Linked DNA regions of Alligator mississippiensis. The protein of the gene in region 2 purifies or fractionates together with the protein of the main gene of each other region. This does not show direct contact. Links are inferred from orthologs where the notes say so. Each region holds a gene or a part of one and is shown on either strand. Other genes may lie near its edges.

Evidence for each region.
Region 1: the proteins of NADPH--cytochrome P450 reductase (region 2) and EMC4 purify together in Homo sapiens (affinity purification with mass spectrometry; 3 studies listed by BioGRID and IntAct, with this or other methods). This does not show direct contact. The link is inferred for Alligator mississippiensis from reciprocal best matches to the Homo sapiens genes POR and EMC4.

What each region holds. Positions count from the first base shown.
Region 1 is NC_081830.1:36,415,932-36,431,190, forward strand, and holds EMC4 (ER membrane protein complex subunit 4), read right to left. Parts: upstream 6,371-15,259; 5' UTR 6,156-6,370; coding exon 6,070-6,155; intron 4,525-6,069; coding exon 4,410-4,524; intron 3,425-4,409; coding exon 3,271-3,424; intron 2,648-3,270; coding exon 2,487-2,647; intron 2,365-2,486; coding exon 2,329-2,364; 3' UTR 2,179-2,328; downstream 1-2,178. Other genes in the region: SLC12A6 (solute carrier family 12 member 6), read left to right, coding at 71-204, 280-371. UniProt on the Homo sapiens protein: Part of the endoplasmic reticulum membrane protein complex (EMC) that enables the energy-independent insertion into endoplasmic reticulum membranes of newly synthesized membrane proteins.
Region 2 is NC_081837.1:17,422,224-17,437,862, forward strand, and holds the start of NADPH--cytochrome P450 reductase, read right to left. Parts: upstream 7,239-15,639; 5' UTR 7,002-7,238; intron 6,645-7,001; exon of another isoform or gene 6,556-6,644; intron 1-6,555. UniProt on the Homo sapiens protein: This enzyme is required for electron transfer from NADP to cytochrome P450 in microsomes. It can also provide electron transfer to heme oxygenase and cytochrome B5.

The DNA.
Region 1 (15,259 bases), on a different chromosome or scaffold from region 2:
GGTTCACATCCCTGTAACCTCTCAGGCAGGCAAGCTGGAATTTCAGCCTCTGTATCTTCTTGGTGCACAGGGACCATTCCAATGTGCGGCGTATGCACACAGCTGTGAAGCTCAACGAAGTGATTGTGAACAAGTCGCATGATGCCAAATTGGTTCTGCTGAACATGCCTGGACCTCCACGTAACCCTGAGGGCGATGAGAATTGTATCCTTGATCATGTGAAATTAATAGTGAGAGTGGTCATTAGTTCCATGTTGCCTCCTTGACTGTTCCTCCCAGATATGGAGTTCCTGGAGGTGCTTACAGAAGGCTTGGAACGTGTGCTGCTGGTGCGTGGGGGTGGCAGTGAGGTCATCACCATTTACTCCTAGTGCCCTCCTGCATCTGGCTGGCTGCCTGCCTTCATTACACTGTAGCACATTTGACCATTCCTTTACCTGCCTGCCTCCCCCTAGGAGCCATCTTCTGCCACTGCAGCCTTCTTTTTCTGTCACAGAATGAGGCCTGCTTCTTTCTCCTTAACAGGCTACCTGGTTGTTAGCCATGGCTCAATGGAGTGTGTATGCGAAGGGTGGCTCAAAGCTGACACTTCCTTGGTCCTAACCCTGGAGCTGATACAGATCAGAATTAGCGTAGCTAGGGGCAACTGGACAGATAAATGGAGTGGGATAGTAGATGTGGTGGGGGCACACCCCACACTGAGCCATTACCTGAGCATCTAATCTGTGGTAAGAAGGGGGAGGAAGTGAAGGGACGTAACCTGAAGGGGGTGGGATGGAGGTAGAGATTGTTACACAGCAGGGCAGGGAGGGGTAGTATGGTACAGAATGAAGTAGAGGACAGATCTAAAATGGATAGGTTGCAGTGGGGGAATTCCCCCTCCCCAGGAGTCATGTGGAGCAGGTATTCTCCAATTCCACTTTCCATGCAGTGCCAAAGCTGCTTTGCTTTTCGTATTATTTAAGTAGAGAAAAAGAGTGAGTGCATGTATGGAAGAGAAGTAGGGGACTTTTCAGGCTCTTCTGGACTATCCCCCCCCCCTTTTTGTCTAGTCTGACCCAGGCCCCCATAACCTTTCTTCTCACTTAGACTGGCTTCAAAGGAATCTGGTGTTTCAGGAACTGGGGCTTTGGTGACTGTTCCATTGGTTTGCCAGAGCAGAGCACCGACAGGCACTGGCACAAAATTCCCTTTCTGCCTCCCTGTCCTAATAATCAGGGACTCCTTTGGGCCCCTTCCTTCCCAGGAGGGGCTGCCTAGGAGTGAGCACCAGCTTTATCCTATCACTGGCTGTAATTCTCTGGTGGCTGTAGTGAAAGGTCTGGCTGACCACTCAGAGTTGTTTTTGGTGTTACTATTTTAACGATCCACCAATGGCTCAAGCTCACCAATTACTTGTTCTAACCTCACAGTGATAGACCCAAGATAAATGAGGAAAGGGAGCATTATCAGTCCATGGTACCCTAGTTCACTGGTGGGGTGGGGGGATTCTTAGAAGTCTTCTTTCCCTGTTTCCCCCATAATCTGTTTATCTTAAAAACTGTTTAAACCCCCCCCCCAGCAAATGCACTGGGGGATGCCTGGCCAAGAGCAAGTGCAATCCTAAAGGGAGAGCAAGTTCCCTTTGTGTTAGTGAGCACAAGGAGATGCTTACTGTATTCCTAATCATGGCTGGCTAAAATGGTTACTAGGACCTTAAATCACCCAGGAGCCTCAAAACCAATAATAATTTAAAAAACAAACAAAAAAAAAACCCCTTCTTCCTTGCTTACTTATTTTGAAGGGATTTTTTTTTTTAGTGAGGGTGGGATTTTTAATTTATTAGGGGACAAGAGGCCCCTGTTTACATGTCACTCTTTATGTGCATTTTTTTGCTCTGTAACAGAACTGTAAAAAATAAAAAAATTTTGTACATGATTTGCAGTGTCTGGGGATGAAGTTGTGTGTTTAACAATGATATCCCCTCCCTACCACTCCAGGGAGTAGTGCTTCTCCTACTACTTCCTCATGCTGACAGCACTTTAACATAGAACTGCACAGGGCCTGGCTAACATGAGATCTAGCAGTACAGGAAAGACACTGTTGCTGACAGTACAGTGCCTGTCTCCCTGCTGGAGAGGCTGAGCTGTGGTGTACCATACCCTCTTCCTTCTCAGACAGCAGACACTGGACTTTGCCTCATATACACAGCAGCTTTATTAGTCCCTACACAGCAGAGAAAGGAAGATACCAGGGCTTGTCTTGCTTCCCCCACAGCATACTTTAGCAGTACAACATCCAGCTTGGAGTTGATGGGGGCCCAAGCCCTGGTATCCCTGGGAAGAGTAGTCACAAAAGTAGCCCACCACCTGTGTACTCCATTCGCTGCAATGAGAGAAAAGATCAAACTAGCACAACTCTATCATCCCCCCAACCTTTGTCCTCTGACTTCCCAGAGCCAAACCCTCCCCCTCTCTTTCCTCTAATGCCAGTCTATACCGACTCACCTCAGGAGGTTCAATGAAAGCCAACCAGTCAGAGGCATGGGTAGGCAGCAGCCCCATTGACTGGCACTTGTAGACAGCCAGTGCCAGTCCTAATAGGTTGCCAATCAGATAAACCAGCCCCTGTAGGAACTTCTGGCTGGAGCTTTCCAGCAGCTTGAAAGCTGAGGGAAGGAGAAAAAGATGATCAGACGTGGAGACCTCCAGATATTGGGTGTCCTTCCCACACTACAACCTCAAATATGGAAAGGTGCTAAGGCTGCAGGAGATGAGGTTGGTCCTGGAACTGGAGGAGGGTGGGAGAGGAGGGGACTAGGCAGGGGACAGGGCTGGTTGTTACTTAGCAGCAGAAATGGTCGTGGTTTGTGGATGGAGTGGGGGAGGCTGTAGAAGACTAAATATTAACAAGACTGTGGGAGATACAGTGTTGCCAACCCCACTGTATCAAAAAAATCAAAAGACAAACTCTTAAGAGATTTGGTATGTAAATTATGAGATGCTTCTTTCTAATCCTCCCTTGCACATGCACCCTGAGCAGTTCCCCTGCCCATTATGGCCTTGAGCTCAGTCCTGCTCCCCTGGCAGGACTCCCTGCACCCTTACACAGCTGGGCCCCACCCAGGCTTCCAGAGACCATGTGGCCGGTTCCAGCCTGCTTGAGGCCAGAAGAAAAAAAACTCCTAAGATTTGAGAGTTCTCGCACAAGATCATGAGTCAGACTTAATTTTACTTAGAAATCGCAACTCGCAATAATTTCATGAGAGTTGGCATTACTGGAGATACTTACTGGCAGATATAGCCATGAGGGCCTGAAGAGGGCGCCAGGCCATCATACACACCATCATGGTGGGGAAGATGGAAATAGTATTCCCAGCCATGTACATGATGAATAAGTTCATGGGGATCTGCTTCAGTGGCCCCAGGGCAATATCCCAGCAGCGCTGAGGAGAGAACATGGATAGAATCAGAAAGTGAGAGTTGGAAGGGACCTCAGGAGGTCACGTCTGGTCCAACCCCCTGCTCAAAGCAGGACCATCCCCAGCTAGATCATCCCAGCCAAAGCTTTGTCTAGCCAGATTTTAAAAACCTCCAAGGATGGAGCTTCCACCACCTCGCTGGGTAACCTGTTCCAGTGGTTTTACTATCCTCCTAGTGAGAACATTCTTCCTAATATCTAAGCTAAACGTCCCTTGCTGCAATTTGAGACCATTGCTCCTTGTTCTGTCATCTGCCACCACTGAGAACAGCCCCATCCTATTTGGAAACCCCCTTCAGGTACTTGAAGGCTGCTATTAAATCCTCTCAATCTTCTCTTTTCCAGACTGAATGAGCCCAGTTCCCTCAGTCTCTCCTCATAAGTCATGTCCCCCAGCTCCCAAAGCCATTTTGTTGCCCTCTGCTGGACTCTCTCCAGTTTGTCCACATCCTCTCTGTAGTGGGGGGACCAAAACTGAACACAGTACTCCAGATGTGGCCTCACCAGTGCTGAAGAGAAGGGAATAATCACTTCTACCAATGCAGCCCAGATTCTGTAAGCAGTTTCCCACCTTGAGATCTCTGACCCACAAGAGAAGCCAGGAGTTGTGATCCTGACCCCAGGCATCCTGGGGAAGTTCTTTGTGATGCCATGCTCAGAGCCTAGCTCTCCGGGGCCTGATGCCCTCCTAACACCTGCAAAAAGAACCCAGCTGTTCTTGGGATGCTCCCCATAGTTGCCCCCCGCCAAAAGTCCCTTGATCCCAAACACTTCCCTCCACATAAAGAGAAGATATAAGTCTTGCCTCTCTTTCCCCTACCAAGAGGACCCCAGCATCTTGCAGAGATTTCCACCCCCTACTCCAGGATTTCACTCTCAACCTTAAGCCCAGGTAGCCTGCAAACTCATCTGCCAGCATGGGATCTTGCTTCAACCCGAGCCCTTGGTACCTTCTCCACCAGGATGCGGTCAGTCTCCTGGACACTGGTGTCAGGAACCTGCTTGTCTGAGTAGCCCACAGGGTAAAGGGAGTCACCTTGGCTGCTGCCCCGGTCACTACGGCCCCTAGGAAGCAGAGAGAGAGAAAACAGATAAGCCTACAACAGTGGTTCTCAACCTTTTTTTAGACTTAAGAAATCCCTCCATAATTTCTGAATTAGTGGCACCTTATACAGATGTGGGTGGAGCAAGACCCTCCTTTTCCCCCCATGTAAGAAGGGAAATACCCCTACCTACCTCTACCTTTGCCTTAATCTTTGAAGCCCAACCCCCCCCCTGCAAAGTACAAGGGCAGGGGTGGCCCTTACTCTATATCCTGGCTGTGGTGGTGGTTTGTATCTGGGATCTGTTGACCTCCACCAGCCAAAAGAAATACATTCTGAGCACAACAAAAATGTTAGCAGGACTGGATCTTCAAACCTAAATATTTACTCACATAAATACAAACTGTAATCATGAATGTGATGGTGAAATACTGAAAGTACATAAATGACTAAACTGTACAACTAAGTCATATTAAACAAATGATTAAGGTTTTATAAAATGCATGTTCATCTAAAGAAATAACTATCTTGTTAACACTTGAGAGAATTTTAAAATGAATTTCTTTAAGTCCTAAAGTCTCAAAACGCCTCTAGAGTCCTAACGGAGATCTTCTCTTAGTTCACCTGCAGATGGGCTGTTCAAGCAAGAACAGAGATTCTGAGATGAACCCAGATTTTCCACTCTACAGCTCAGTCAAACCATGAAAAAGCTTCCTAAATAAGAGAAAGGGGGGGGGGGGGGGGGGCAGCAGTAATTTTAATTAATATAAATAATTAAAAAAAAAAAAAAACAACCAACCTTATTTAGGAAGCTTTTTCCATGGTTTAGCCAAGCTGTACAGAACAAAATCTGGTTTCATCTTATACATATAAGTGTTCCTAACTGGTGTTATGCTAATGAATATTCATACACCTATTCCTATCTGCTCTATATGATAGACAAAGCTAATTTTAGACAAGCTCTAACTCCTGAACATGCTTTAAGTGAGACCTTGAACCAAGTTGTTGGGTTTTTTTCTATTCCATCTTCCTTGAAATTTCTAAATTGGCTCAGGCCTTGGGACATCCTCTGGCCTATCCCTTCCTGTGCCACCTCCTCTCACCCAAGCTTTGGCCAAGCGGATGCAAGCAAAGGCTGCGCTGTATTACCACGCAGCAACCCGCGCCCCACCGCGCTCTGCAGCAGCAGTTCCCAGCCTGCGGTGTGCGCACCACCAGCGGTAGCGTCAGCAGATTTATTATAGTTACTTCCTATGACAGAAATTCGCTGGCGGTCCTTATCGTTTTCAATTGGTCTTGCGCAGCCGGCCACTTCGGGGGAAGGGCTGCTCTACAGCTCCCCGGGGGGCGGCAGCAGTAGCGGCTGCTTCCTGGAGCTCCCCCCGGCCTGGCCGCCAAGGCCCCAGTCCTGCCACCGCCGCTTGTGACCCCGCACGTAGCGGCCCGGCCCCGGAGCGGGGGCAGCACCCGACGCCCAGCGGAAGCCCCGCGGCGGGACGAGAGCCGCAGAGGGAGCGGAGCCGCCGCAGGGAGCGGGGCGGGCGGCCCGGGGGGTGGGGGCCCTCACCTGCTCCCGCTGCCCGGCCCGCTCAGCTCGATGGCCCACTTGAAGCGCCGGCCCCGGTTGGACACCAGCCCCCCGGGCGTCGCCATCGCGCTGCAGGGCCGGGGGCAATGGCAGGGCGCGGCCGCGCTCCGCCCGGCAACGGGGGCCCCAAGGCGCCAGGCAGCGCCGCTCCGCAAGGGACACAGGCGTCCACGGGCACCGAGCCGGGACGCGGCTCAGTCCCCTTCTACTCCCCTCAAGGGCCAGTGGGGGCCTCACTGCTCAATGGACCCGCACTGGAGAGACCAGCGCCACTTCCGGCTGGGACCAGAACCTTACTTCCGCCTTCCGGCTGCGGAAAGGCTCGGGCTGCCTGCGCCGCGCCCTAGCGGCTGGCACGCGTCTTGGTGTTGGGCGGGCGCGCGCGGGGAGGTGGGGCGGGCCGGGAGCAGGCGTGCGGGGTGGGAGCGGGGCGTACTCGGCCTGAAAAGGGCCGGGCGAGGCAGGGCTGGCGCCTACGGCCATACCACCCTGAACACGCCCGATTTTGTCTGATCTCGGAAGCTAGGCAGGGTTGGGCCCGGTTAGTACCTGGCTGGGAGACCGCCTGGGAATACCGGGTGCTGTAGACTTTTGCTGTTGCGCACAGCCTGGCCAGCCCTTCTTTCTTGGTCCCTGGCCGGGGGCCCGGGGTGCCCGGTGCCTCTGGCCTCCTGGGCTGGGCACTGCCAGGCAGGCAGGCGCGTGTGCTCTGGGCTCCCTGCCCTAGCCCTGGAGCGCCCTTGCCCGAGGCGCGTGGGCCTGTGTGGAGTGGAGCGGGCGGGGGAGCTTGAGGGAGTGCTGCGCCCCCAGCCTGTGGGGGCGGGCCTGGTGCTGGCTCTGGGCGGGCTGGGGGTGCCGAGGCGGCAGCGTGCAGGCACAAGCACATCACAATTGCCCTTTACCGTGTGGGGCCGTAGGTGCGCCTTGCTCAGGCTCCTGCGTCGCCCGATGAATTCTACGGTTCTGTATTGGACGCCTGTTTCTCCCGGTTTGCCGGGAGCAGAAGATAGGCCGCCTGGCCCGTGGTGCCCTGCATCCCCTCTGGAGCCTGTCCTTGGGTGCTGGCAGCCCACCAGGGCTCGGGGACCCGGGCGGTTTTCGGCGGGGGCTTGCATGCTGCGGTTAGGAGCGCGGCCGTTTCCGCTTGGAGCTGCTCCAGGGCCCGGGGCCGAACGCCAGCAGGTGCCGGTGGTCGGCCCCGGTGGAGTTTGTCAGTTTCCGCTCCCGCCTGAGGTGCTGCGGCCTGGGTTGGGGTCAGCCCCGCTGCCTTGTCCCTGGAGAGGAGTGGGCGTGGGGAGGGAACGCCCCTGAGATCTTGCCCGGGGCAGGCGGGCGCAAGGAATGCCTGGAGGCTCTGGGCGGCGGCCCTGGCCTCCTTGAGCGCCCCCCAGGCCGGGCTGTGGATGCGAAGGCCCCGGTGAGTCCCTGGCAGGTGTTGGGCTTGCGCTGGACTGCGAGACGTTGGGGGGAAGCTTGCGTGTAGCCAGTGCCTGGGCCCGCCGTTTCCGTGCGGGTGTTGGTGGAGCGTGGCTGGGGATTGTCTTTTCCTGGTCGCGGTTTAGGATTGGGTGCGGTGGCGGGGCAGGCTGTGTGCGGGGCCAGGAGGGGAGAGGTGGGGCCCGGGTCGGGGGTGGGGTGCTGGAGCAGGGAGGCGGGAGGCCGGCAGCAGGCTGGAGTTGGGGGAGGCGGGCCGGGGGTGGGCGGCGTGCGCCCGGGGCAAGCAGGGGCGGTGGGCCATGGGTGCACGCGGGTTGGTGTTGGGCGCACGTGTGAGGGGAGGGGCAGGCTGTGTGCGCGCGCGGGGAGGTGGGGCGGGCCGGGAGCAGGCGTGCGGGGTGGGAGCGGGGTGTACACTGGCCTGAAAAGGGCCGGGCGAGGCAGGGCTGGTGCCTATGGCTGTACCACCCTCAGCATGCCTGATCTCCAAAGGTAAACAAGGTCAGGCCCGGTTAGTACCTGGATGGGAGACTGCCCGGGAATACTGGGTGCTGTAGGCTTTTGCTGTTGTGCACAGCCTGGCCAGTCTTTTTTTTTGGTTCATGCTTGCCCAAGTGCCCCCAGTCTGCCTTGGTCATGACCATGGCACGCAACTTTCTGTCAGCAGCACGTGTGACCAGCTCGCTACTTGCCCCCTTTCCAGATCACTTTTGCCTGTGCTAAAGAGCACGGCCCTGCTCCCCCTGGGGGACCCTGCTGCTCGCTTCTTTCCATCCTGAAAAAGAACCATTTCTGCTCCTTCTTTGCTTTGGGCCCTGAAGCCAGCTTCTGAACCGCAAGTGGACATTGCCGGTGCTCCCCTGACTGCCTCGCTCAGTGATGAACCCCAAGTCAGGGACCTTATCAGAGGCTTTGTGGAAGTCCAGGCAGCCAGTGGCAAGCGGACCACCCTGATCCCCCTGCTTAATGACACCTTCCAAGCACTCCAATAGGCCGGCGAGGTGCGGTTTCCCTCGGGCAGAGCCAAATGGTTCTTTTTTGGATGATTGTTTCTCTCTGTTTGCCCAGTACTGAAGTTAAGCTGACTGTCCTGTAGTTTCCTGCATCCCCTGTGGAGCCTTTTTTAAATATGGGAATCACGTTGACGGCCCTCCAGTCCTCTGGTACCAAGGCTGTTTGTAATAATAAGTTGTATGCTAGTTAGTAGCTCAGCAATTTCCACTCTCACCTTTTTAGGGCCCTGGGGTAAATGCCATCAGGTGCTGGTGATTTGCTACTGTTTCATTTATCAATGTCCTCTACAACATAATCTATCGAAACCTCAGTTAGGGTCAGCTCCACTCCCTAGAGAGGAGTGGATCTGGTGAGGGAATCTCCCGAATATCCTCCCAGGGAAGGCAAATGCAAAGAACTCATTGAGTTTCTCAGCAATGGCCCTGTCATCCATTAGCACCGCTTTTCCACCCTGATCGCCCAGGCCACATGTACACCTGCCAGGGGTTTAGTTCTCCCTACATTGAAACAGTGGGTTTTTAATCAGTGGGCTTTTAATTGTGCCGATTAAAAACCCACCATTTCAATTTAGGGACCTCCATCATCATGGTGGAAGTACTGGCCCCATCAGCTCACGCCCCCCACTACCTCTGCCGTGGAGCAGGCAGGCTCTGCCAAAGGAAAAAGAACAAAAAAACAGTGAGGGGCCCAATCCTTTTTTTTCCTGTAGCCTGCCCACGGCTCCCGCAGTCATGGGGGTGAGCTGCCAGCAATCCCTGAGCGGCAGGGGACTCCTGTGCTTCCCTCTGTGGCAGCACCACTCCCTGTGTGGCACCGCTTGCTAGCATCCTGCCCAGGCAGTCCTGGCACCACCACCACAAAGAGAAACACCAGCCCCGAACCCCACAGCTCAGGGGCTGCACAGCCGGGTGTCAGCACACATGGGCAGGCTCCACTGGGGAAAAACAAAAAAGTGACAGGGGGCCTGATCCTTTTTGTCTCCCTGAGCCTGCCTTTGTCTCCCACAGCAGGGGGGTAAGCTGCCCGTGAGTCGTGTAGCCCCCTTGCCACTTCCTTTTTTTTTTCTCAGCAGAGCATGAGCTGCCACCCGGGCAGGGTGCTAGCTGCGCAGGTGCAGCCCCAGCTCACAGACAGCACCCACCGGATCTAATGGTACACAGGGAGCTGGAAGCTTGGGTGTGCTCAGGGAAGCTCAGGCTTGGCTTTCTCATGTCTGTGGAAGCAACGAAGGGCTGGCTGCGCTGCGTGCAACAGCAAAAGGACATGTTACCAGGATAAGCCTTCTACCTAGCAAGCAAGATTTAGCTTCCAGCATAAATGTAGCTGCGCTCCTTACCCATATCCTTGATACCCACATAGACCTTGACCCACCAGCTTCTCCCCAACCCTCCTTAGCACCTTATGTACACAGCCTGTGAGGTCCACTACCTTTGCACCCGGTAGGTAAGTCACCATGTGGTCCTCTCGGATGTCACAAACCCAGCTATCTATATGCCTGATAATCAAATCTCCCGCTACCACCACCTGCCCCTTCTGTCCTGTGGGGTTCCCTCCCTTGGAGGAGTATCCTATGTGCCAGAAGACACTGTACCATCAGCTGGAAGGTGGGTCCCATCTAAAGGATAGTTTCCCTCCGTCCCTGCTTGATGCCCTCCATCCCCATGGCTCTCAGTCCCCTCAGCAGCATGGGAGCTGCTACAATGAAGGTGGGACTGCTCTACAACACCCCTAAAAGCCTCATCTATGAACCTCGCTGCCTCCCTTAGCGGCTCCGGTTCTACCAGCCTAGCCACAAGGGGATATATTCATTCTCGCAGCACCAGGAGTTCCCTGCACCAATTGCACACATGAAACCTGTCCCTGGGGCAGGTAATCGTACATGCTGCACTCAGTGCAATAAGCTGGGGACCCCCGACCCTGTTGCTTCTGATCATGGGGGGGGCTTGAAACTGGCTTATCTTCTCTTCCACCCCACAGGTCTAGGGGTCTCCTGCGGGGGTTGGACTTTCTCAAACCGTCTTGTTTGGCTGACAGTGTGGGGAGGGGAGGGGCTGAAATCTGGCTTTTTTTCAGTCTTGGGGGCTCAAACCTGCCATTGGGAGGGGTGGGGTGCCTAGAACTGGGAGGTGAAGGGGCAGGGGTGGGGCACCAGAAAAGGAAATGGTGGCAGCCCAGTGTTCAAGAGAGGAGTGGAAGTCGAGCGGCCATCAAGGTACCTTAAGAATAGAGGACAGGTCCTCCCAAGGCTGGGGGCGCACAGCAAGCTCCCGCAGGCGGCAGGGGCATGGCAGCGGCAAGTAGGGAGCTCCCACAGGTAGCCGCAGTGGTGTCGGCAGCCAGGGCGGGCAGAGCAGGGAGCTCCCACAAGCAGCCAAGGCAGTGGCCGGGAGGGGGGGAGGGGGGGGGAGTGCTTTGCCACCAAGCACTGAAAAACAGAAGACATAAAGGCGTCCAACAGAAGACCAGAAAACTGGACTGTCCTCTATAAAACCGGATGAATGACCACCCTAAGTGGGAGGGTCAGGGATCAGAGGAGAGGGCTGGAAAGTGTGTACTGGGTGGGAAGCCTTGAAACAGACTTCTCTTGGGGAGAAGCGGCAGCCAGGCTCTTAACAGGGGACCCTGCTCTGTTACTGAGAGTGAGAAATGTGCATCTGTGCTGAGTGAGGAAGGGACACAGGTGAGTGGGAGCTGTGACCAGGCCCAGGAAGACCCAAGGTGGGAGAAGCCAGCAGAGCAGAGCAAAAGCTTAGGGAAAGCTTAGCGAAAGGCACCACAGCTGCATTTGATTGCATTTGGGTTTGGCTTTAAGTTTGCTGCTTAAGCTGGGAAGAAAGGAATGAGGCTGAAGGGTTCTTGATTCCTGGTTCCTTTTCAAAGTTACTGTTTACAAAATTAGAGGCTATTAGTGTAGCCCGGGTGTACATGGCTTTGTACTCCCCTCTCCAATTGAGGGAATTATTGGCAAGGTAGTGTGCTGCGGAGGGACACAACAGCCCAGCAGCCACCTCCATTCCCTATAGAGTCAGGCCCAGTTAATCAATTACTTAACTATATATGCATTTATTATTACAACAAAACTATTAAAGGGTAAGGACATAAATTATACACACAAACATACATACACACACACATATATATGTATATGCACACATATACATACACGCATACATATATACACATATATACATATACATATATACACACATATACACATATACACATACGCATACATATATACATATATGCACACACATATATATCTACATATATACACACACACATATATATATCTACATATATATATACACACACATTTACAAAACAATAAACCTTATATGTATAAGTACACACAACCAATTATTATTTAAAAATACAGATGAACAATAGAACAACCTAGAACAAAGGATATTGATCAGGCAACCTTATAACTATTAATATACAAGCTATTGCTTCAACTTATTCACATAAACCGTAAGGCACAGTCTACAAATATAACCAACAATCCTTAGATTATCTGGGTGTCCTCCAGGGCAGGGGCCCCACTCCCAAGGCACCATTACAGGAAAGGAGGTGGGGGGAAAGAAAAAGGAGAGGAAGACCCCAAAGACTCCTAAGCTCCCCACTATCACCCAGGAGCGGCCCCAACCCTGGGGGGTCCTTCCCCTCTTGGGACCCTCTCTCCGGGGTAACTTACTACTCCAGTCCCAGAGGGTTGCCTCCCATTCTCCAGGTCAAGCTCTGTTCATCTGACTCTGCTGCCACCAGCCTGACTTAGGGCCACATGCACCACTGCGTGTACTGGGCACTTGGCCTTGTGCTAGGGGTTGGAGGACCAGACAGCCTTGTGCAGCACCGGGCTTGGTCTGATCCCGGACCTTCTGGGCAGTGTCGTCTGCCCTGAGCTGCTGTCCCAAGCCACCTCGAGCGGCTCCCAGGGTCTCTCACCCTCTGTGCAGCGCCTCCTGCACTGAGCTCCCAGCCTCGTGCTGGGGGTTGTGGACCTGAGCTGCTCAAGGGGCTCCAAAGATCCTGCTCCATGCACCAGCCTGTGCTCCATGTCTCTGGCCACATGCCAGAGGTTGCAGACCCGAGCCGCCTAACGCAGCTCCCAGGGCCTGAACGCTGTGCACTGTGCTGTGCACCAAGAGCCTAACCGCTGGAGCCATCCATCACTCCCCACTGATAGAAGTCTTCAGGGAGCCTTCCTGGGCTACTGCTGTGCAGCTCTTCTCAGCTCTTCTAACCCCACTCTTCTCTGTCCCTGAAGCATCTCCCTCGTGCTGCCCGCACAGCTCGGTCGTCCAGACCTGACAGTTTGCAGTCTTCAATCAGGTCCAGGAGAGCTGTTCTCCCCCTCCCCTCAGGAAAGGGGTGCAACTTTATTTCTCTTGCTGCCTCCTGATGGGCTCCACCAATCAAAACAGCAGGATCTCAAGCCTGGGCCTCAACCCAAGCTCTGAAACACAAGCCTGCTAAATTAGCATGTCTAATTCATTGCTAAAGAGTCAGATTTTCATCAAAAATGTGTTTTTATGCTCATTTTTATTAGACTAATAAAACTGTAATATAATATAGCAAATATTATAATAAGGGACTGAGATTAGGCTGGGATTATGGGGCAAAATCCACAATGGGTCACCCCAAACCACACACGTCCTCCACCAGGGGACTCCCCTGGCCCTACCCAACCCAGAGCTTGGTTTTCAAGTGCCATCCTCCCACCTGTCAGCCCCCTGTGCCTGCATGTTAAGTACATGGTGTTGAATATGTGCCGACTTGGTCCATTTTCCTTATTGGCTTTTCTCATTTAATACAGAATGGTCTTCTCAGACAGAAATTTTGGCCAGCATGAGTGATTTTTGGACAAGCACTTCTCACATCTTTAAGCAATGAATATGTAATCTTATCTATCCATTTAGAGTGATTTTCTTCTACTTTGTGCAAATACAGTTTTAACATAAAATATTGATGTAACCCAGGTGGTACTCCAAGAGGTACCCCCTCTCCAATTGAAGGGATCAAAGCAGGTGCACAAGTGCTGAGCCCCGGCCTCATGACGAGCTGCCTGGCCTCTTATTAGAGGAGCTGGAAGCAGAGCTGGGAACCTCTCAGGTCGCTGCTCAGATCCTTGCTGGAGCTGGGGAGCCTCTCCTGCTGGCCGCAGCCTCTTGTAGGGGATCCTGGAGCCCAGCGGGAGCCTCTCCTGCCGGCCGCACGCCGCGCTGCTGAGGGTCCCACTGCTGCCTGCAGGTCCCACTCCTTCAGGTGCTTCCTGGGGCAACTGCTCCCACCCTGCTGGCCCAGCTCTTTGAAACTCCTTCCTTGTGGTCCCTCACTGGTCTCCCCTCACTCAGCTGTGCTGCCCCTTTTATCCCCCTCCAGGTGACCCAAGGGGCCAATCAGGGGACACAGAGGGTGAGTCTCTGGGGCCTGATTGGTGAGGAAAGGGAATCCCAAGTCCTCCAATCATCTTTTGCCCCTTCAAAACCCCTGGGCTAAATCACTGCCAGCTAGCCCATCACACTGATAATTAAGTTAAAGATATTTAAGTATGTGCCCACCACACATTTGCAGTTCCTGATGTCAGTCAGTTCCTTATTCTTCCTTCAGATATTTTGGATTAGAGCATGCAGTTTCCAACCCAGAACTGCACCGCACTGGCACATGTCATGTCTGGTTCAGGACATACACAATCCCTCCTCTCTATTCCTCCTGCCTTCCCCCCTTACCCTACTGCTGCTTTGCCCAGGGGCAGGGAAAGCTCCTGAGCCATTCCTGCCCACTCCAGCCAGGCTGTACAATGGCCAGGCTCAGCTGGGGATAGCAGCTGTGGAGGTGGTGTGGGAGGAATTTCCCCTTCCTGCACCTGCTCCTGGGGGACCGGGCACAGGGAGAAACCCACCCGTTTGCCACCACTGCTGCTGCCATCCCCAGCTGAGCCCAGCCCACAAGCAGCCTGCTCTTGTAGCTGGTATTGGATCAGAGCAGTCAGTGGCATTCATCCTGCATGGGGTAATGTACTGCACTGATCTTCTTGGGGCTGAGAGAACCACAGATTGGGGTGATTACCATTTATTCCTTTGACCCAATCATGGAGTAAAAACTCTGTTAAAGACCTGAATTAACATTCCTTCCCTGGAAATGTAATCAGCCTTTGTTGTTATAAGGACACCAGTGAGGTGATTTTCCTGAGGCCTCTGCTACATATTACAGCTATTAAGTTAGTGCTTGGAAATATGTGACAACTCTATAGCTGGTTTTTATTCAGCTTTAATTCAAACATGTGGCAGGACCAAGTTCCAACAGAACTTGTGCAGGTTTTATATGGACAATGTTTGTAGTAGGGTGCCATCTAAAGATGGGAGTCAAACAAAGAAAATAACTTGGAATTCAAATAAAGCAGATAAAATGTTATATTGAATGTCAGTAGTGTAATAATGATGATGTAGCCATGATGGTGCAGAAATTATGAGAGGCAAGGATTTCTTTGGGTGAGATCTTTTATTGGACCAACTATGTAGTTGGGATAAAGTTAGACAAGCAGCTTTTGAATGCAAAACTTTTCTTCATCAGAGGGAGGCGGGCACAGCATAAGTGAAAAAACAGTAGAGGAAGGAGGGTGAAAGAAATCCCCATGAGTAGCAGGTACGCAATTAACAGAAGAAAATAAGCTGATCCCTGGGAGATCAAGCCCTCTAAAAGAGAGGAGGGTCAT
Region 2 (15,639 bases):
TTTTTTGGACATTGCAGCCAATAATGTTTATGGATAATTATGCCTTCTGGCCAAGGCCCTGAACACCTGGGATCCCTCTCCCCCGTGGGTCCAAGGGCCCTGGATGCCTCGTGTCCCCTTGCAGTCAGGCAGCATCCTAGCCCACCAGGGGCCCTGCTTGGGGCTGCCACGAGTGAGACACAGGGGGCACCGTATGCACATGCACAGCCACACACATGCACGTGGCCAGGAATATAGCTGGGCAGCATGGAGAACAGCTCCCTGCAGCTAAGTCTATGGAGAGGAAGGGGCATGGGGGAGGGTAAGGGTAGGGGGTGCAGATTGAGGCCCCCACAGCGAGGCTGGGAGTGGAGCCGGGGCTGGGGCCGCTGCCCAGCCAGGGTTGTGCATTGGACCCAGGGCCAGGGTGGGGAGCAGAACAGAGCCACAGGCAGCCCCCCCCACTGCACCCCCCCAGGGGAGGCATAGGGGGACATGTGCACACCCAGATTTGTGCATGAGGCAAATGTGGGCTGCTCACTGTGGGCTCGGGGCTCTCCACTCTACTTCCTTTCCCTAGGGAGTCTTACACCAACTGTGTGCCCCCTGCCCACCCAGCAGCAGTGAGGGTGGTGAGCTGTGCCCCCCACTGCTGGGCAGGCAGGGGGTGCGTGGCCAGCACAGGGCTCCCAGCGCAAAGGCAGCTGAGTGGAGAGACCCGAGCCCACAGGGACAGCCTGCATCTGCCCTCACCCCGCTCTGCTCTGCTTAAAAGTGTCCCTGCACTTAAAAATAGTGGTGATGGCACTTGAACTAAAGGTCATTTGATGAACTTTAGTTGAAGCACCCCTGCCACCCTTTTTAAGTACCAGGATGCTGATACATGTGAAGCAAAAGGCTGCTGGAGTGTGCTAAAATAAGTTTATTTATGTCAGTACTTTAAAATGCCTTGCAATTTAAAGTAAATTGGTTATTATGTTGGCATCAGCTGATATGATTAGTTAATAATAGGCTATTGGTATCAGCTAAGAAAACCTTTATCAGTGCATCCCTAACTCTACATACCAGTTACTAGGGGTGCACTGAAATATTGGTTGGCTATCACACCAGCACTGATAAAAAGAGAAGTTATAGGCTATAGGCTTTTTTTGGTCATTTTAGCCAGTAATTACGACCATGTGCCCAGAGCATCCTGATGACTGTAGACCAGTCCCCACACCCTGCCACCAGTCCAGGTCTGTGGCAGACTACAGGTCCCAGCAAGCAGCAGGAGGCAGAGGGGATGCTGGGAAGCGGTCACAAGGTCCCCACACTTAGCAACAAAGGCACCATTACTGGCTCTCCTCCTGCTGCTGCCACTGCCATGGCAACACCACCTGCTCAGGGACCTGAGCGCTGGGGCTGCTGCTGGGCTGCAAGCGGGCAGGGTAGGGTGTCGTGAGAGGGACATTCTACTCCACCAGGCACTCCATGTCTTTGTAAAAATGGCTCCCCCCCCCCAGCGGCCATGGGAGCTCGGCTATGTGGGGCCTGCTGGTGTGGAGGCAGTGCCATTCTCTGGGGCTCCAAACACACCTGGTGCCACTGTCTGCACGAGGGTCCATCCCACCTGCTAGCACAGGCTGAACAGGGAGCAGGGCTGTGGGTAGCTGTGGGCAAGGGGGATGACCTATGTGGGAATAAGGTAGTCACCACCTTCCTCATCAAGGGCCTGAGCAGGTAGGAGGTGTGTGCATGTGCATGTGTTATAAATACAAAACAAATACACAAAAAGTTCATTTATGTCAGTAGTTTAAAATGCCATGCACTCTTACTAAATATCAGTTAATCACTGGCTATCACTATCAGTATCATCCAAGAAAATCTTTATCGGTACACCCCTAGTAGTTACTATACGAGAAAATAAAAAAGGCTATGACTTCCCTGATGTCACACAGTGATTCAGTGCAGAGTCCAAAATGGAACCCAGATTTTCTGACTCTTGATGGCATGCTTTAAATACAGGCACGCTATTCAAAATGTGCATCATCACCCCATCCAGGATGACAGCTGTTTAAGGATAATAGGCCTGAGGTTAATTTTTACTTTAAAAAGAGAGCCCACTGGGGAAATGGTGACAACTGATGCCCCCCCACCATTACTGACATATCGGATTTAACGAGCACAAAAGTGGAAGTCTAGTATATTCTTCATTTTCTTTTCATAGATTTAAAAAGGGTGCTTTTTCTCTTGGTCTTAACAAGAATTGCATATTTTTTGCTTCATCATGCTGTTACAAATAGATCATTCTGGTGTTACACAATCATGTCTTGTGCAATCTATCAGGGACTCTATCAGCCTCATACTGTAGTGACTGTACAGATGTAAAATAAGCTCTAGTAATGCTCCAAAAGAAGTAAAGCTCACCAGCTGCAGTTCAAAAATGACTGTTTGGCTACTAACAGTGGTAAGAAGTAGAAGCCAGAACTCATGGTTCTCATTTTCAGCTCTACCAATTCCTTTCAAGTCAAGCATGTTACCAGATTTTCAAAAGGATGACAATCAGGCCCTGTTGTGGGAGTTAACAAGGCAGAAAATCTGATATCACATCCATTCAATTCCAGTCCTGCTGTCTGTAGAACAGGGATGATAGACCATGGCTAGACTGCAATCCTGCTGAGCCCAGGACTGCCACCAAGAAAACAAGCCCCACACACTTGCTCCCAAACCCTGCAATTAGGTGGTGGAGGAAGGTTGTACGGGCCCAGGCTCTCCTAGGAAAGATCACTTGAGAAAGAAGGGGTCTTGGTGTACAATCCTGCACCTAAGGTACCCACCTGCCAGATGGGCATGTGTTAAGTGGGAGGGAGCAGAAAGGGCTTAGTTGCTTTGGCAATACTCCAGGACTCAAGAGGAAGGCAGAGCAGACCTACCACAGTTACTTGACTCACAACAGGTGTAGAGGCTTACCTATTTGAAAAAAAGTGATTTGAAATTCAGACGGCAGGTATCACATGGAAATGCAAAAATCAGCTTAGTCTTACTTGTAACACCTCCACATTCTATTTAAAGACACCCCCCACCCTGAGCTGCTAACTAATCAATAATATTAAAATGATATGCAGCTAGGAGTCAGATGAATACCATTTTGGACCATCAGGATTCTTAAAGCAGCTTCCAGGGCTACAAGGGACTTCCCTGTTTGATCTTTGCAGGTTCTGTAACCCAGGTTACAGATGTTATAATGTTTAATTTGGTAAAAGGCAGCCACAAATTATGATATTTCAAGCAATTCAAGTAGCATGTAATATAGTAGCTAGTACACAGAAACATTCTTTAATTACTGATCAGTGATGAAAAGCACACTATTGCCAGGGCTGTAGGACATGATTCACCTTTTACATTATCATGTGCAGAGTAATATAACCATTTAGTCAAATCAAGTCATCCTATTGGGAAAGCAACTCCTGTAAGAATTTTCTAGAGTTGAGTTAAGAAAATAGAACAAAGTTCATCCCAGGCAGATAACTCATAGCAGTGGGGTGTGGGTTTTTTTTGTTTGTTTATTTATTGTTTTAATATATGAGAAAAAGAAAGAACAGGACAGCTTAAGACCTGAGCAAGGTAACTAATACCCCCTCCCCAGATCACAGCAATACATAGCTTTTGATGTGCAGCTGCAATCAGAAGAGATAAAGTCCTATTTCATAAAATTCTAGTTATTCTGTCTGTGCCTTCTGTATCAAATGCGCTTACTCTGTTTGTCTGAAGTTTGAAGGCCGCTGTTCATTTGTACTCCCGTAAGTTTAAAAAAAAATAAAATAAAAGGTGTTTCTGGCTTTGCAAACACTATTGAGTTCCTGTGATCATTTCAGTGATCATTTTCACAGTCACAATATTCTTGTGTGCTAAATTTTCATTCAAAGATTTCCACATAGAAGAGAAATGGATCAAGTGATTAAACAAGGACACCGTGATACTGCCTATAGAGTAACCCAGATTAATTGGTAAACCAAGTTCAATTAAGTACAATTGAAGAGCTTAAAGGATTTAAAAATACCCTATGATTTTAAACTTCTCCATAATTCTGTTTTGAAATTACGTCTAAGATTATTATAGCTGAATGATTAGACAAAAGTACTCTCTCTCAGTGCACTGGTTCTCTGAGTGTATCCATTTTCTCCTTCCCATCTTTCCCCGTTTTTAAGCTTTCCCTTCAAGGACTCCTGCCTTGCAAATATTCATCTGAGGGACTGAAGGAAAAATGAAACAGTTACTGTAAGCACCACCGGGGAACTATAATTCTTGCTATGACCTTTGGGGCAGCCCTGTAGGAACTGAACAAAAAACTGCCTCCAACAAAATGCTATGGGATTTGTTCCCTTCAAGTGTGGTCCTAGGAGGTTTCCAGGTAAGCTTCAGAGGCGGTAACAGACTGGTATGAAGGAGGTGGTTCTGGCAAATCAGTAGGGGGTGCTCTTCCCTTGAGACTTGTAGGATGTGCTAAGTAAAGACCCAGCCCAGCTCCTAGCAGAAATTACTGGGTAGGATCAACATGCACTGGTAAAAGCTGCTCCTCCAGTTTACCCCAGGCCATGGCTGCAGATGGAGCAATTTCCAGTACAGGTTTCCCTCTATCTATGCTGTACATGCGTTCCCAGAGAACGGCACATAAATCAAATTCGCATAAAGCAAACATACTTTGCAATGTAACAAATAGGAATATGTTCCTATGGCGGTGAGGGAGGGAGGCTGGGACTAGGGAAGGGGCAGGGGTGCTGCTCCCAGGGCTGCACAACACAGCAAAACAGAGGGAACAGAACGGCCCCAGGAACAGCCAGGAGCAGCAGCACTAGCTGTTAGGCTGCACCATGCTCCACCTGTCCCCACTCACCTCTGCTCCTGCACTATGCAGTACCCTGGTGCAGGCAGCTGGTGTTGGCTGTTCCCAAGGCCACTGCAGCCGGGGCTGGGGTGAGTGGGGACACGGCCCTTTCCCCTCCCCCCGCAGACTTACCTGCTTGGGCGGGGGGGAGGAGGGGGGGCACGCATGTTTACTGATTGCGTAAGAGCAAATTTACCTCACATATAATAAACTATGGGTTTAAATATGCTCATTGCATAAGAGCAAGTTTGCATATAAAGAACCCACATAAAATCGAGGGAAACCTGTGCATCTAGAGCACCTAGGAACTAGAAGCTCCACACAAAAGTAAAGATTCACATTCAGAAATGGGAAACATTTTAGTAACAAAACTGACCAAATCTCAGTTCCTTCTGGCGTTAGACCTGCAAATCAACTGTCAAACAAAGACTGATTAGAAACCAAAGCTGAACGTGCAGGAGAATTTCCACGATACAATCGTCCAGTTTTAGTCGGATTAGATGGGAGCTTCCTCTTCACTACATTTGTTCCTCTGAATTTCTTTAAAAGGCTTTTCCACTGCCTAATTTCAACCCCAATATTTTTTTTTAAAGAATGGCTACACCAAACAATATCTGCCCCAAACCTATTTTCAGTGCACATACCAGAGTGCTTCCGCCCATGCATAAGAAACCTAATAAACAGGGATCCTGATTTTCTACAATTTAAAAAAAAAACCCTAATTTTCAGTTAAGAAAAAAAACAAACAACCCCAAATCCATATTTTTCCACAAGAAAAATATGGATTTGGGGTTACTTTTATTTATTTTTAACCAAAAATTGGATATTTTTTTTAATCAGAGAAAACCAGGATCCCTGTTTACCAGGTTCCTTATGAATGGGAGGAAGCACCCTGGTATGTGCACTGAAAATAGGTTTGGGGCAAATGTTATTTGGTGTAAGCATTCAAGTCTACTCTACCAATTAAACCTGGATGCTGCAATCACAAAAGCACTGTACTGTTGGGTATTAAACATCAAAAGTTAGAGCAGGTTGGAGGAGTGGAAGTTTTCACCAGTTCCTTCAGCAAAATTATTCCACAAAGTCACAACTTCACTGTCAGGAGCTATCCCAGCTGTTCAACCCTTCCTACTCTTTAGTTTCACTCCAGCTATAAGAGATGTAGAAACCAGGATCTACACAAACAGGCCGACGGACTTGGTTTGTTTAGTCTAGAAAGGAGACTGGGAAGATTATAAGAGTTTCCCATGTGCCGAAGGCTGTTACAAGGAGAAGGGTGATCAGTTGTTCTCCTTTTCCACCAGCGGGATGAGGCCAAACCGTCTCAAGGGCACCAGAGACCAGCCTGGCTGGTCAAGAAACGACGAGACACAAAAGCTTCTGGGCGCGGAGCAGCGCAGGCCGCCGCGGGAGCCCCTTCCTTGGCAGCTTTTCAGAGCAGGTCGGACAATGCGGCGGGACGGCCCGGCGCAGGGTTCTCCGCGGGGCCGCAGCGCGGGGAAGTGGCCGCCGCCGCTTGGGCCCGGCCCGGCCCGCGCTGCTCCTCGCCGAAAGGAGCGGGCGAGGCCGAGCGCGACGGTTGCCGGCGGCCCCCTCCCCGGCGGAAACTGAACCCCGGCCCCGCCACACCGAGCCCAGGCGTCGCGGCGCCCCCGCGAGACACCCCACGCGGACCCGGTTCCCCCGCCCGCCCCACGCGGCGCCGCACGCACCTCCCCGCACCCGGCGGCGACTCCCAGGCCCGGCGCGGCCGGCACTTCCGGCGGCACAGACCACTCCCGGGACGGGGGGGGGGGCCGGTTCTGCCGCCTCCTGCGCAGTCGCGGCAGCTCCCTCCAGCCAATAGCGGAGCCGCCCGCGGAATGCTCACCCCCCTCCCTCCCACGGCCTTGGTACGGCCCGGTGCCGGCAGCAGCCTGGGCTGGTCGCGGAGCTGCGCCGGGAGGGCTGGGGGTCGCCCCCGCTTCCCCGCCCGCGGCTCGGGCTGCGACGTGGAACCCGGCGGGGCTGCCCGGCTGTCGCGGCCTCGCTCCCGCTCCCCAGTGCGGAGCTGCCCGCTCGGCCCTTCAGGCCGGTGACACTAGCTCGACCTGCCCCAACCGGGACGGCTCCGGGCCGGGCCACGTGTGGAGCAGACGCTCGTGAGAGCCGCGCTGACCTTCTCAGGGTGCCAGAGGTTCTTCCAGATGTGATCAGCTGTGGCTCTGTTCTTGTCCTTTGATTGCCTTTACCATCCAGGTAGTGTTATAGTGAGGTAGCGGAGCCGGTGCGCTCCGGGTTGCTCAGCCCCGAGGTGTCTGTAGTGTGGTCAAGTGAGAGCGGTGCCTGTTTCCACGGAATGAAAGTCTCCTCCTCCTGCACTGACTTGCCCTCCTGTTTCCTTTTATCTACAGAGCCAAGCCTGCCTAGTTCAAGCAGGGGTAGAAATCATCTGTGGAAGTGGGCGGGAAGAGAGGGAGGAGTTCTGCTCAGCTGCACTATCTGGATTCATCCTTGTAAGGGGTCATTTGGCAGAGCAGTCAGGAACATGATAACACTTCTGTTGTTCGAAAGTGTCCCTGAGATGTGCCACGCTCTCCTGGCCCAGGGTAGGATAGAAATAAGCATGTTCCTACAGCAGGATACGAGGTTCCTTTCCTTTCCGTGCTGGCAGCTACTTACACAATTAACTGTTTTCCTGCTGTCCCTCTCGTGTCTTTGCTGTGCAGCCATCCTTCAACCCTGCTTAGTTGAAATCAGTGGAGCATCAGGGTGCTCTTGGAGAGATTTAACAGTCCAGAAGGGCTGTTATCCTTCAGGAATCCAGGGGTCATGCTAAAGGCATCTGGATGGGATCAAAGTAGGATGCAGAGCTGTGCCTTTTTCTGCCTGAATTAAATTCAGGTTCAGTCTGCATTACAAATGCTTTGCCATGACAGCAATAGTAGTGGAGCTATACTGGTAAAGGCCCTCACCAGGAGACTGGAGCTCAGTCTGTTTAGTGTGGTGGCAAAGCTATGTCAACTAGGTGTTAAACAAATAACCACCCCCGCTGATACGACTGTAGGCAGGCCCCTTGTCTGGGGACAGCTAGGCTGACAGAAGGGGCCTTCTGCTAGCTCAGCTTCTGCCTTTTGAGGGTGTGATCTGGCTAATAAAAAACCCCTCTGTTGCCATATGTTGCATCTCCACAAGGGGGTCCTGCCGCTATTCCCAACTCCTGCACAGCTATGGCTGCAGCAGCAGCAGCCCGATAATGGAGAGAGGCTCTCAGCTTATACCAGCAACAGACAGTCTTGCTCATTAAGTTAACCCACTGCCTGAGATGACATAGACCAGCAAAAGGACGCTCATAATGGGGGTAAGGGGCTCCTGGTACATTTACATTGGCTAGGGGTGTCATGTTCATGCTTTTAACCACCATTATTTTGCTAGTAGGATTTCATAGTGTGGACCTGTACCAAGATGCACTGTGCTGTACCTGGACAAAGTGTTATGCAGAAGCTGTTCTTTTGCCTGCCTCCGTGCCAGTCTTCCTTTTGTCATGGTATCAGCAGAAATAAGAAACATTTTCTCGTAGACACATAGGATTACCTGAATATCCATTGAGACCCTGATTCTGCCGCTGCACCTTTTCCTGGGATGCCTTGCTCGGAGGATATTATGGAGCAAAGGTGCCCAATCTATCCCTTAAGATACCATGTCAACAATAACATGGAATGTCAACAGTTTTGAGTCACGAGTTACAAATATGTAGGTAGGTGTTATTATTGTATGTACAGTGAATTCATGTGGGCAATCAGTAGCAGCTGTATAATTAATCTGTGTGTGTGCATATAGTTACATGGGTTTACATCAGTGCCCTGGAATGTGCATTTGTTCCAGGAATGTACAGCACCTTGTGCGGGAGGGTCCTGGTCAACAATAATTCACATTTAAATAATATTATTTTTTCATAAGCAAAACTATAAGGTATATTTTTCAATTAGACTGATTTTGCTGCTTGGATTTTCTTTTTAATCTTCAGCTGTGAAAGGCAACCAGGTCATAAGCTGGCTCCTGACTACTAACACTTCACCATGCTGACGTTTAAAATAAGCTGTTACTAGACATCTCATCCCTTTTGATCCTTTCCCTTCTACTTTAGTCTCTTACTTCACTAATGAAAGAGAACTAAGATACTGCAGATTAGCTTTCATTTGTCATGATATAAAGCATACACACTGGATACATGAAGACCCACTCACTTTTTCCTAGCAAAAACTTGCATGCCTGCAGTCCTTCCCATCAGCCAATATTTCTTATCTTCTTGAGAAAATTGATCAAGATAGTTATTTTCTTATGTGGACATTATTCTAGAATAAAGAGTTTTCCCCTGAAAAATAATTAGTGCTGTTCTGTAATCATAGGAAATATGGCTGGAAAGGGTCATCTAGTCCAGCCCTCTGCTCAAGGCCTGCCTGATTAAGCCAAGTGTCTTTCTAACCTGCTCTTGAAAACTTCCAAGAATGTAGATTCCACAGCTTCTTTAGGCTCCTCGACCACCCTCAGTTAGGAAGTTCCTCCTAATCTCCAATCTAAATTTTCCCCGTTGCAGCTTGAGGGGTAACATCCCCTATAGCCACAGAGGCAAAGCCTATTTCCTTCCTTTCTATAATCACCCTGCAGGTATTTGAAGACTGTTGTCAAATCCGCCCCCCCCACCGGTCTTCTTTTCTCCAAACTAAAATAACCCTCGTTTTCAGCCTTTCCTCATGGGTCTCATATCACAGGCCCCTGATCATTTTTGTCACTCTGGACACTGGACTCTTTCCAATTGGTCCAAATCCTTCTTGAAGCGTGGGTCCTAAACCTGGACAAAAAACTCCATGTGAGGCCTCACCAGTGCTGAATAGAGGAGAAGAATCGCTTCCCTTGATTTGCAAGTCACTCCTGTTAATATAATCCAGGATGTTGTTTGCTCCTCTCCCCCACTGCCCAACAAGAGCACACTGCTGGCTTGTGTTCAGCCTATGGCCCACCATAACCTCCAAGTCCTACTCTGCAGTACTGCAGCCTAGCTACTCATTCCTCAGTCTGTATTTATGCCTGTGGGTATTCTATCGCAAGTGCAGGCCTTTGCACTTGTTCTTGCTGAATCTCATCTGATTGATTCCAGACCAACCTGATTCAATCCAGGTTATTTTAGATCTCCTAGCCCTAACTTCCAGAGCATCCTCAATTCCACCCAACATGGTGTCGTCCACAAATTTGACAAGCAAGCACTCGATCCTATCTTCCAAAACTATGATGAAAATGTTAAACAATACCAGACCCAAGACAGAGCTCTGATGAGTCCCACTTGATACTTCCTCCCAGCTAGACATCAGGCCATTGAGGACTACTCGCTGAGTATGATGATTCAACCAGGTTTTTTTAATCTACTTTACAATACCTTCAGCTAGTCTGTATTTCCTTAGGTTGTTAATATGAATGTTGTAGGACAGTGTCAAAAGCCTTGCTGGTGTCAATGTATATCATATCCACTGCTCTTCCCCCATTCACAGGGCCTGTCACCTTATCATAGAAGGAAATCAGGTTGGTCAGGCACGACTTGCTATTTGTGAATCCATGCTGTCTGTTTGAAATCACCTTGTTCTCCTCTAAGTGTTTCACAATGCATTCCTTGAGACCCAATCCATGCTGGCTGTCAGTGAACTCCCATGGTTGAGGCTGATCAGTCCCACAGATCAACTAAAGGGTTGTAAATGAGTCATTTATGACTAACAAGGCCCATCCTAGAGCCACATACTCTCTGTCAAATGCTACAGGTGGTTAAAGGAAGGGGTCAGAGCATTTCTTGTTCTTGTTTCCTTTCCTTTCATTTATGTCATTTTTCTGTCTCCAGGGTGAGACAGTTTTCCTCAAAGTAAGATGTACCTTCTCTCACAAGGCATTGCCATGTAGCCCTGTCCAAGCTAATTTTTCCCCAATTTGTGGTGTGTCTGCCACACTTAATGCTCACCTTGAGGGTGTCCTTGAAGCATTTCCTCTGGCCCCCATGTGTCCTTCGTTCTTAGCCGAGTTGGGAGTATAGCAGTTATTTTGGTAAATGTACATCAGGCATGCACACACAGTGCCCTATCCACTGCAGTTGATGTTGAGTAATCAGTGCTTCCCTAATGGTGGTGCTAACAGGGCCAGATTAACGCATAGGCAAACTAGGCACATGGCTAGGGCCCTGAGCTGTGGGGACCCCAGGTCCTTTCCTCCATGGTGGTGGTGTGAATGGCTTCATCCACCTCCCTTCCCTTCCCTTCCCTTCCCTTCCCTTCCCTTCCCTTCCCTTCCCTTCCATTGGCCTTGGTGCCGCTGCCACCACTGTCCCCTAATAGCAGCAGTGGCAGCACTGGGGTGGGGAGGGAGGTCTTGACCAGCCCAGGGCCCACAAGTTTGCTTGCCAAGGGCCCACTAAAGGGTTAATCCAGCCCTGGGTGCTAGTGTCAGTGAGGACACTGGCATTTATGTGATGATCCTCCCTCTCTATGCCAAGGATCTTCCAGAGGTAGCGCTGGTGATGGTATTCCAGACTGTTCAGGTGGTCCCTGTAGATCATCCAAACTTCACAACTATAGAGAAGAGTTAGGATTGCCACAACCTTATATGGTAGGAGCTTTGTTTGAGTCCTGATGTCATGTCCAGTCTTCTGAAGGCAGAGCTGTCACATCAGATCCTACGCTGGAGTTCCTCGTTGATGTTAGCCTTCTTTGAGAGAGAGCTGCCAAAGATCCTCCCTGGTATTGAGGTCAGGCTGATTGATCTGTAGTTCCCTGCATCCTCCTTCTTCCCTTTCTTTAAATTTGTCCTTTGCCAACCATTTGGAACCTCACTCGACTTCCATGAGTTGTCAAAAAAGATTGCCAGTAGCTCTAAAATTACCTCAGCCAATTCTTTCAGTACCCTCAAGTGCATCCCATCAGGTCTTGCCAACTTGAAAGCAGCTAGCTTCTCTAAGTAATCCTGAACCTGTTCTGCCATTACTCTAAACTGCTTGTCTCCTTCCCTATCTCTGCTGGGAATTGCACTTGTCAGATGGTAGCTGCCCCTTTTCATAAAAACTGAGCTAAAGACATTAAATACTTCAGCCTTCTCTCCATCATCTGTAACTAGATTGTTTTCCACATTCCATAACGGACCTATGGTTTCTTTCATCTTCCTCTCATTTTTGATGCACCTGATGAATCCCATTATATTGCCTTATGTCCATTGCCATCTGCGTCTCAAGTTGTGCCTTTACCTCCCTGATTTTCTTCCTACATGCCCGTGAAATATGCCTATACTCTCCCCTAGTACCAGGACCAAGTTTCCACTTTTTATAGCATTCCTTTTTTAGTTTCAGTTCCTTGAAAGGATTGTCCTGCCTGGCTAGTCTCCTGTTGCACTACAGTCATCTCTCCTGGACTCCTTTTTCCCCTCGAACTTGCCTCCCAAGGGACCCACAAGATCCCTGAGGTTGTTAAAGTCCGCTTTTCTGAAATCTAGTGCCCTTATTCTGCTGCTCTCCTTTCTCCCTCCACTTAGCATCTTGAACTCTTATTATTTCATGGTCACTGGCACTCAACTTACCTCCCACCTGCGCATTCTCAACCATTTCCTCCTTGTTTGTGAGCAATAGGCCAAGAAGAGCTCCCTCTTCATTTGCCTTTCTACCGTCTGAACCGAAAAGGTATCACTGTTACAGGGTACCACTGGCATGTGACCCAGGGTTCCATCCCCAGTTGGCTTCACACTCTCCACTCCCTCTCACTTGCCTGCTTCACCTTATTGGTGAATAATCTGGGGAGGTTCTCTCATCCCAAATGGAGGGGGAATCCAGAGCCATTCATTACTGGCTCATCTTTATCCACATCACTGATACTAGTAGTGTCCAGGCCCCTTCCAGGGGCCTCTGCCTTGCTGCTTGCAAGGTTCCTCCTTGTCCTTACTAACAGTCCTACTTGTGACCCTGCTGGGTCTTGAGCCCAGAGCCCTCAGCTCCACCGGCCTGTCGGCTCTCAGCCGCTGGTGCCCTGGAAGGTCCCAGATCTTGAAACAGGCACTCCCAACCAACTGAGGTTGAATTACAGAAGAGTCCTTTGTTTCGCCTCTCTGCTGTGCAGCCTTCATATCACCCCTTATAACCACATCCATTCCACCAGTTGTAATAAAGAGATTTCTTCCTTTTTATGAACCATCCTGCCCCTGGGCTGCCAAACAAAGTCCCCAGACATAAACTTCACCCCACCAAGCCCAAAAGAGAACAAAACAAAAAAAACAACAACACACTACTCACTATTACTGCAATCTATACATCATGAGGGCCACCCCCTGGGGCCCCAACTCACCATCTTCTGGGACATTTCATCACATCACTCAACCAATCCCTTTCTTTCCCAGCCCTGCCAGCAGCCAGGGATCCACTTCTATGACCCTGGGCCCCTCCCCCTTTTCTGGTCACTTGACCCTGTCTGCTCAGGCCCACATAGCATCCTGCCCTCAGGAGGTTCAGGTCTGCAGCTTGCCCTCAGCTGCAGCTTTTCACTCCTGGCTCTAAAAGTCCTTGCTTTAAAAGGACCTAGCCCTGTGGTCCAGTTCCCTGTCTTCTCCCCAGTAGCAGGGGTGAAACCCCTTGTTTAGTCAGTCCCCAACACTCTCCAGGAATTTCCTGGACTGCTTGTGCACTGCTGTGTTTACCTTCCAGCAGATGTCCCAATAATTAAAGCCCTCTGATAACTAAGTCTTGCAATTTGTAAGCTTCCATCAGTTGTTTAAAAAAGGCCTCATCTACCTTCTCCTCTTGGGTTGGAGGTCTGTAGCAGATCTCCACCATAACATCCCTTCTGCTGCTCTCCCCTCTGACCTTTACCTAGAAGCTTTCAACAGGCCGCCTTCCCCTTCGGACCTCACCTCTGAACATATGTACATCACCTTTATATATAGGGTAATACCTCCTTCTCTCATCTGACTTCTCTCTTGCTTGTACTTAGGCAAACCAACGAGCAGGGGTGTCTGAATGGGAGTTCTGCTTGGGAGAGGAAGCTGTAGCCAGAGCAGTGTTCTCAGAGGTGCTCACTATGTTTACTATGGCTGCTATGGAAGCGCTTGTTAGTTCAGTCAATTCCCCTATGCAAGCTAAGCCTTTATTTGCAGTCCAGTAATACATGCATACTGCTAGGCCTCCTTAAAGATTTTGTGGATGTAGTGAGCCCTTGCATATGCTACAGAAAGTTTCCTAGGATAACTGTGCCAGGAGAGTATTTATAGTCTGGTATAGGTGGAACCCTCTGAAGGATGAAGATGGCAGAAGCAGCTGAGCATGAAGGCAACAAAAGTAACTTGTTTCATGGATACAAATGGTCCTTAAGTTAATCATAAGTTAACGAGCCAATAAAGTGACACATTTATCCCCAAAGCAATTGTTGTATGGTTCCCTCATGGCATGGCACATATGAGAAGCAGTATTATACACATAGATGCCAGTGTCTCTGGATGTTACTGCCATATATATATGTGTGAAATTCCTTACAAAGAATATTAAGGTAACAAAATCAAGCACTCCACATTTAGGAAAGGCCAGAGTTAAGGTAGACACCTTTCGTTTGGCCTCCTTGTGCATGCATCTGCAATATGACACAATCCTTAATGACATCACAGGCTATTTTTTTTATAGGGATTAGCTCCACCTATAATAACAATAAAAATAATATTCATAGTTTGGCAACTGTTGATCCTTCCGGGTCATGGTGTATTCATGAGAGATCACCCAGACCTTCATTGCATATGCCAAGACAGGAGTTTGGAGCCTGTCCAGACCTTCCATTCTGAGACAGAATCCAAAGGCCAGATTGAGTCCTGACATTTGGTGACTCCATGGCTGTAATTGTATTAGTATCCAGAAATCAAACTCAGGTTTCCTGCGTAACAGACAGGATTCTACCACTGAACCACAGGGGACTCTAATCATCATCATTATCATCTTTGAAACAGCAATCTGCTGGAGCTATGTACAAATATTAGAGGTGCACGAATACATTGGCCCCATATCAGATCGGCACCGATATAGGGAAAATTGAAAGTATCAGAAATCAGCTTTTTTTGCCTGATGCAGCCAATAATCTGGAGAATAAATGCCCTGTGTGTGCGCACAGCCACAGCATGCATGGGGCCAGGAGCACAGCCCGGCAGCTTGTAGACCAGCATCTGGCTGGTAAGTCTGATATGGGGGAAGGGGTGGGGGGAGGGAGGGAGTGGGGCTGGGGCAGGCGCTGCTCAGCCAGGGTGAGCACAGGACAGAGCTGTGAGCGGCTCATCCAGGGGGCATAGGGTGGGAGACTGGCTCCCACTGCTGCATGCACCCCAGGAAGGCATGGAAGGTGTGTGTGGTGGGCCAGTAGGGGGTGCTTCTGCACTGAGCCACCCACATCACTGTGCCCGACCACCTGCAAGGCTCCAAGTGCCTCCCTGAGGGCGCCTCATGTCCAGCTGACCCCCTTCCTGGAGTACACCTGCAAGCCTGGAGGTAACACTGCCACCACTCACGAGTCTCAGTGTGTTAGTGGCCCTGTGCCTCATGAGGTACACAGGCCTTATAGACCTGAAGGGTACTAGACCCACTGCAAGAACTTGGAATGCTTCCTTTAGTCTGAAGCACAAATAGTGGTCTCCCTTAGTCAGCGAGACCAAGGGGACCCTAAGGCATAATCTAAACCCTCTCCTAATACATTTTTCACACTAGATACAGAGGATAACTTTATTGATTACAAGGAGTAGGTATGGAATAGGGTACAGGGTAGAGCAAT